2 linked regions of the Danio rerio genome follow. The protein of the gene in region 1 interacts with the protein of each later gene in a pairwise test. Links are inferred from orthologs where the notes say so. Each region holds a gene or a part of one and is shown in the gene's direction. Other genes may lie near its edges.

What was found.
Region 2: the proteins of sgtb (region 1) and serpine1 interact in binary tests that used the Homo sapiens proteins (3 or more experiments, as listed by UniProt). The two-hybrid records come from large-scale screens. The link is inferred for Danio rerio from reciprocal best matches to the Homo sapiens genes SGTB and SERPINE1.

The regions. Positions count from the first base shown.
Region 1 is NC_133185.1:17,682,918-17,686,854, reverse strand, and holds the start of sgtb (small glutamine-rich tetratricopeptide repeat-containing protein beta), read left to right. Parts: upstream 1-1,137; 5' UTR 1,138-1,201; coding exon 1,202-1,238; intron 1,239-3,642; coding exon 3,643-3,747; intron 3,748-3,937. UniProt on the Homo sapiens protein: Co-chaperone that binds directly to HSC70 and HSP70 and regulates their ATPase activity.
Region 2 is NC_133182.1:26,294,624-26,298,693, reverse strand, and holds the start of serpine1 (plasminogen activator inhibitor 1), read left to right. Parts: upstream 1-1,270; 5' UTR 1,271-1,372; intron 1,373-2,365; 5' UTR 2,366-2,374; coding exon 2,375-2,615; intron 2,616-2,723; coding exon 2,724-2,948; intron 2,949-3,089; coding exon 3,090-3,284; intron 3,285-3,365; coding exon 3,366-3,564; intron 3,565-3,658; coding exon 3,659-3,759; intron 3,760-4,070. UniProt on the Homo sapiens protein: Serine protease inhibitor. Inhibits TMPRSS7. Is a primary inhibitor of tissue-type plasminogen activator (PLAT) and urokinase-type plasminogen activator (PLAU).

The DNA.
Region 1 (3,937 bases):
TTGAATAAACTAAATTGACCGTAGTGTATGTGTGTGATTGAGAGTGTATGGGTGTTTCCCAGTACTGGGTTGCAACCGTAAGGGTATCATATGCTGGATAAATTGATGGTTCATCCCACTGTGATGACTCCTGATAATTAAAGAGACTAAACCAAATAAGGAAAATGAATGAATGAATAATTTAGTCAATATATGTTTGCTTTATATAGCAGTCTGTGATGTAGGCCTATTGTATCATTTGCTGACTTGCTGCTGTACTATGACCGAAAAAGGGACATTAATTAGTATCAATTATAATTGGTGCTCATCGCTCAGTCATTAAAATGGTTATTATTATTATAAGTTAAATATGTTTCATATTTCCTGCTTCATATTTTGAGGGCTTTGACACTTTAATAATCATGATTCTCCACAAAACTCTGAAGCAGCACAACTGTTTTCTTCTTATAATAATCAGTAATGTTTCTAGACTCGAGCATATCATTTTAGGCGCGATTTCTAATGGCTTGTATTAAACTGAAGACTGAGTCATTTTTTGTTTTCATATAGTCACAATACATTGTGTGGGGCGGCACGATGGCTCAGTGGTTAGCTCTATCACCTCACAGAAAGAAGGTCGCTGGTTTGAGTCCTGGCAGGACCAGTGGGCTTTTCTGAGTGGAGTTTGCATGTTTTCCCCGTGTTCGTGTAGGTTTTCTCCGGGTGTTACGGTTTCCCCACAGTCCAAAGCATGAGCTATAGATGAATTGAATAAACTAAATTAGCTGTAGTGTGTGTGTGAATGTGAGTGTAGCCTATGGACGTTACCCAGTAAAGTTAGCTACTGGGTTGTGGCTGGAAGGACATTCACTGTGTAAAACAATAGTTGGCAGTTCATTCCGCTGTGGCGGCCTTTGAAATTAGTCTCTCTGAAATAGAGACTAAGCTGAAGGAAAATGAATGAATTTTGGTATGAAATTTTTTGACACATCATCTCTTGTAACTGACTATAAATTATTAAAACTACATTGAGTTATAATATTTATCAAAGGTTTTATTAAATATAAAATGAATAATTAATTTTATATAGAAAGCTAAACTCGCGTCTTATACGTAATAAGATTATGAATAAAACTCTTCATGGTGGTGGTGATCCTCGACCAGTCATTTCCGTCAGTGATGCGCGTGCGCAGTGCTGAGCATCAGTGTCACGAGAGTGTTCATGACTGTGGAGCGAGCGCTGCGGGCACTTTCTCCAGGTAGGTGGGCGGGGGCGCGCACAGCATCCACAACACTATAATGTTATTGATATTTTTACGCTTTATGAGAAATGCGAAGCTATTGAAGAAGAGTACCAGAGGTTTCTCTTTCCGTGCGTTAAATAAACTGCGAACGTGTTCAGCCATTGCACAGCCCCCTGCAATCTGTGTAAAGCAGTGTAAACACGGACCATCTGTGATGCACACACTAGTGCTGATCTGCGATATGGGTGTATTTAGAAATATACAGGAGGTTTAATGATGTTTCATGTTGTAGGGTGACATTTTGATTCAGTTGTTGTCAGCATTACATCATAACTGCATCATATGTTTTGGCTTTTGTTATCTAGGGACGTATGTTGTGCTTGACTGTGTATCGCAGCTGTGTGAAAGTATTATGTATATTCTGTAAGAGTGGCACCAGAAGTATTTATGTGTCAAATATGGCTTTGATGATCAGAAGCTTATAAAATAATTCATAGGTGAACGTTATGTAATTAACCCCTGCAACAACACACACAGCAGCATTATGTATACAACGTTAACATAAACATACTTAACCCTATGGTATTGTTTATATCACACATGTGTTTGATGGCCAAAACAATGATTTTAATGATACAATAGTTGTATTTTTATAAAAATGTAAATGTTTTTTTTTTCATTTTTGCTATTTTGGATTTTATGGTACTAAAATAGTCACATTTATTTTGGACAATTATTTCATATTCTAATGCAATGGGTGCTATTTATTAAAATTAATGCTGTGCTTGAGTTTTATAATACAAGTACTTAAAGTATGTGAAATTCTTTAGAGGGAAATTAGTGCCACTCAGTGGGTAGACTATTTGTTCATGAGCACTTTTGCAATGTGCTATTGACTTATACAGCACTTCAACAGAGAACTTAATATTGAGTGAATTTGTATGATCTGTTCTCTGTTTTGTTTCCCCAGAGCATTGAACATTGTGTCTCAAAGTAACAATGTGGTGTTTCGTTTCTCAATGAATCTGCCATCTGCGATCATTTAGCATATTTGAAACAAGTCCACGGTTTTCTGACTGTATGTTTGCATAGCGAGTGCTGCAAAAGTCACAAACTTTCATACCATTCTGTTGAATTTACAATATAAAACAAATAGTTTTGTCTGAATAAGACCAGAGGGTTAAGTACTGTATATTAATATATCAGTAAAGATTTTAAGCCAACATCTTAAAAATGGAAACATTGATGTAATACTCAACACTGATGAGGAGTAAAACTAGATATTGACAGAGCTTGTGATGAAGATGAAGTTGTTTTTTCATGTTAAATTCGCATAGCAAGTGCTACAAAGTCAACACATTTCATAGCATTCAAGGGAAGTTCTGTTCTTTTTTTTTATCAAGAACATTTTGGGAATTAGAAAATGCAATGGTGATATTATATTTTATTATAATATAAAATTAAAAGCAGGAAAATGTACAACATATTCTCCTATATGTCATGTACAACATATTCTCAACTATTCAAGGCGTAGCCTTGGGCTGCAGGGGGTCCGGTTCGGGGACCACAGGATGTCATCTCTGTTACTCATAGACGATGTTGTTCTGTTGGCTTCATCGAACATCGACCTTTAGCATGCATTCGGTTTGCTGCCGAGTGTGACGCGGCTGGGATGAGAATCAGCACCTCCAAGTCCGAGGCCATGATGCTCCACCGGAAAAAGGTGGTTTGCCATTTCCAGGTTGGAGGAAAGTCCTTACCCCAGATGGAGGAGTTTAAGTATCTCGGGGTTTTGTTCAAGGGTGAGAGAAGGATGGAACATGAGATTGACAGGCTTATTGGTAATGCGGTCAATGTACCAGTTTGTTGTGGTAAAGAAGGAGCTGAACCGAAAGGCAAAGCTCTCGATTTAAAGGTCAATCGGTCAATCTACGTTCCTACTCTCACCTACGGTCATAAGCTTTGGGTCATGACCGAAAGGACAAGCTCTTGGAAACAAGCAGCCGAAATGAGTTTCCTTCGAAGGGTGGCAGGGCGCACTCTTATGTCGGAGCTCTGAAACTCAGGAGGAGCCTTCCACCGGGAGGAGGCCTTGGGGAAGACCCAGGACATGCTGGAGTGACTATGTCTCTCGGCTGGCCTGGGAATGCCTCGGGATCCCCCCGGAGGAACTGGAGGAAGTTATCTGGGGAGAGGGAAGTCTGGGGTTCTCTCCTAGTCCTAAGATTGCTGACCCCACAACCCGGCCCCGGAAAAGCGACAGAAAATGAATGATATCTTATAATACAATTATTCTTCTTTTATCTAACCCTTCAGTGTCTTCCTTTAATGTCCGATTTGTCCAATGTCTGATTTGGTTAAAACATTTTTTTTTTTCAATAATCCTGTATCAACAAATCTTTTCTCTGGTTTCTCCCAGACAAAATGGCAGTGGAAAAGCGTTTGGCATATTCTATGGTGCAGTTCCTCAGAGATCAGACACACTGTGGCTCACTGAATTCAGATGAACAGGAGAGTCTGGAAGGTAGGTCACCTCATGTTTAAAACATTTAAAGTCACAGACTCACAGGCCTTTTTTTTTCTTTACTCCTGGACTGTCTGTTCAGTTTCTATTTCATGTCAGATCAAAAGGGCTTTCTTGTCATTAGCACTGCAAACTGTTGTATGCATTAGGGCTGCACAATGTTGGAAAAATTTGACATTGCAATATTTTG
Region 2 (4,070 bases), on another chromosome or scaffold:
TGGCGGTTCTAAGCCGAAAAAAAAGAAAGAATAATGAGTAAATAATAACCCAAACAAATGAACAAACTGAACAAAAGGCATTTCTATATACACACTCACTATAGCCTACCTAATAATATCATTTATCCATATTAGTTTTTGAGCCATTTTATTAATGCAGCTTCTTCTATTGATATACTGTACCTTAAGGTAAATATTAAATTGCCATTGTTGTCTATTGAAGGTGTGTGCGTGCTGTCAACGACGATCGGGGAGGGTAGTGGCGGTTCTAGTTTAAATGACACCCTGGCAAACCACCCCATACACCCCACCTCCCTTGAATTGTTAGATTTGTTATTTAATAAACATAACAAACAACATAATAAAACAACAACTGGAGTGATATGCCAAGACCACTTAAGAAACCTTTTGCATGAAAATTAATTATAACAATTCTAAAGAATTATCTGTGGTCTTAGACCAGATCATGGCTGAGAAATCATGTTATGAAGTCTTACCTCCCTGACTCATTATCCATCCTTTCTGCTTTAAAGCCATGTTTAGTAATCATCATATTATATAAACTTTAGTCGACTTTAAAAACTCGCTGCGTGCCTACACCTCTGCACAAAAGGCTGTTACTCCGGTTTCACGGCACATGAGCGGCGCCTATTTTATTGGCGTGCATGGAAACAACCAACCGGGATTCACACAGGAGTGCGTGAGGCGCGCGGGAATGGTTTTCTGCGCGCATGCGTCAGTTTGCTTTCACCAGCATTGAACCAGAGGGGGAGAGCTAGGTCAGTAACACCAACAATAATTTAGTGACTGCATTTTATGTATTTATTTATTTAAATATTGGGAATTTATAAGTACATTTAAATCAATAATGTCAACAGCAAAATTATATTGGGGTGGCCACAGGGGTGGCCAGAGTTTACCGTGGGGTGGCCGTGGCCACCCCTGGCCACCCCTTGGGGGCGCCCCTGTACTCAACACTGTTTATTAAACAAACGCTTTACAAAGTTTTAATGACTGAACGAGGTGCTGTGACTGCTGTCTCTGTCAGACTAAATGTATGACTTAACTGTTTAACAGTCTAGTAAAAATGAAAGGAGAGACAGACAGGGGGAGAGACACCGTTGAAAAAATAGTGTTTATGTTTGTCTGTGTGAAAAGCGGAGAGCGGGAATGAAAAGCAGACGATATGACATCATAACTTCCGCTAGTGCGTGCGCGTCTGAGGGGGAGGACAAGAGTCCTTTAAATAGAGACCGAGCTCCTGGCAGGCACACAGAGCAGCTCTAGGCTTCCACTGCATTGGATGATCACAGTAACGCCTTACATCTACAGAGATTACAGAGAAACTCTACAGAAGTAAAGCATCTTTAAGGTAACTTTGTGTTCTTGTTCTGTCTCATTTCGTAGGCTTAATGTTACATATGGGCTGATTGTTATTCAGTCGAGAGTCAAACTTTTCTAGTACAATTTTGGTAACATTCACTTGTGATCGATTAATTGGAGACATTTTGGTTTGCTCTGGGGGTAAAAAGCATGTGCAAAAAGCAATTAATATTTATTAATAATTTAAAGCTAAATATTAGGTGGTCTGACCTGTACACTTTACCAAAAAATAATTTACTTTAAAATTGGGTTTTCCCACATTTTAAAAAATGAAAATTAACTCAATTTGCTCTCCCTCAAGTGGTTTCATACTTTCATGATTTTATATATATATATATATATATATATATATATATATATATATATATATATATATATATATATATATATATATTTTTTTTTTTATTATTTTTTTTATTTATTTATTTATTTATTATTATTATTTTATTATTATTATTCAGTTGAAGATAAAAAGATATTTTGAAGAATGCTGGAAACCTGTAACTATTGACTGTCCAAATATTAAAATCAAATGTTGCAGGTTTCCAGCATTCATCAAAATATCATAATTTAAAATCATAATATTATAATCAAATTGTTTAATAAATGAAAGAACCCTAAATTTTTAACATGTTAATAGTGAGTAAATGATGATAGAATGTTCAGCATTGGGTTAACTGTCATTTTTAGTGTTTAAAGTCAAAGATTATGTGCTATGGTAGTCTTTACATAAACACGCCAGATATGAGTGAGTCAAGACAAGCAAACAGAGACGGCGTGGTATTGCGTTTGAGTGGTTGGTGTTGAGTCTTGCACATGAGAGAGAATTTTCACAAGGGAAAGTAAAGAGCTTGTTCTCTTTTTGGAGGAGGTTGAAACATTTTTTGTCCTGAACAATATGCTAAGTGAACACACCCTCACTGTCACCCAGAAATATACAATAATCGCTGACATTTCTCTCTCTCTCTGTCTTTTTCAATAGATATTCAGAATGCAGAGCCTGAGTGTGCTACTGATCTTTGCCCTTTGCGCATCAAGCTTGTGCAACCTTATCCAGGACAAACAGACAGATTTTGGGCTACAGGTGTTTGCTGAAGCCGTCCAGTCTGCTCCAGATCGAAATCTGGCTCTCTCTCCATATGGTATCGCCTCGGTGCTGGGAATGGCTCAGATGGGTGCCTATGGCGCTACTCTAAAACTGCTCGCCTCCAAGATGGGCTACTCTCTGCAAGGTAGATAAATAAAAGCGACTCAGATTAAACAAAAACTATCATGTTGTTAAATAAAAATGTATTCTGAATGTGATATGTAAATGTTGCTTTTCTCTTTCTTTCCGACAGAAAGAGGAATGCCCAAACTGCAGAGGCTTCTTCAGAGAGATCTGGCCAGTGAAGATGGAGTGGAGGTGGCCAGCGGGGTCATGGTTGACCGGAAGATCATCTTGGAAAAGGTCTTTAGGCGCAGCTTGAGCAAAGCCTTCCAGAGCGTCCCACACCAGATAGACTTCAGCCAGCCAGAGATGGCCAGGCAGGTGATCAACTCCTGGACGTCTGACCACACTGGTGGTGTGTATGCTATTTTGACTAAACTGCCTTTGATATTCTTCATTTGTACAACTCTTTGGATAAAAAAGGATTGCGTGCCAATATAAGCTCACCATACGCTATATAAGATGCTAAACTTGTTTGTTGTTGTCATCATCCTAGGAATGATTTCTGAGTTCCTCCCATCTGGAGTGCTGAGTGAACTGACACGGTTAGTCCTCCTGAATGCCCTGCACTTCCACGGGGTCTGGAAGACACCATTTGACCCCAGAAACACTCGAGAGCAGCTCTTCCACACAGTCAATGGCAGTGCTGTATCTGTTCCTATGATGACAACCACTCAAAAATTCAACTATGGTGAGTTTCAAAGAATTTCAGTGATGGGTTAGTGAGAAAACAAGAACTTTTGTTGTTATTTACAAAGTTGTTTTATTTTAGGTGAGTTCGTGTCTAAGGATGGCGTGGACTATGACGTCATCGAGATACCTTATGAGGGGGAGTCGATAAGTATGCTCCTGGTGACACCTTTTGAGAAGGACGTGCCTCTGTCTGCCTTGAACAAAGAGCTGAGCAGCAGCAGGATCCACCAGTGGAGACAAGAAATGAGGAAGATAAGCAAACAGCTGTCTATTCCAAGGTAACCAACTTGATCTATTTCTGTAAGCTTTGGGATTTTCTGTTGTGATGATGAACATGTAAAATAGGAGGCCTAACTTATGTTATATTTTCAGGTTCTCCATGGATACTGAAATTGATCTGAAGTCCACACTGAGCAGAATGGGTCTTGGAGACATTTTCAGCCAGAGTAGAGCTGATTTCTCTCGCATTACTAGTGAGTATTAGGAATTATTAACAGCTTTGTTTGGGAACATTTGTAGCCATTTAGTTAATATTAGGGCTGCACAATATTGGAAAAAATAGATATTTTGATATTTATATGTTTTGCTATTTATACTGCGATATTTAACCAGATCACTTGAATAGCTTTATTTAGAAAAATTAACAATTTTAGATTGATTGATTAGGATGATTTTGTATGGGATCTACAGATGAGCATTTGGGAACAAATAAAAATAAACTATAAGCATAGATAAGCAAAGATACAAATAATGGAGTTTAACAGAATTCAGGTACAGAAATAAA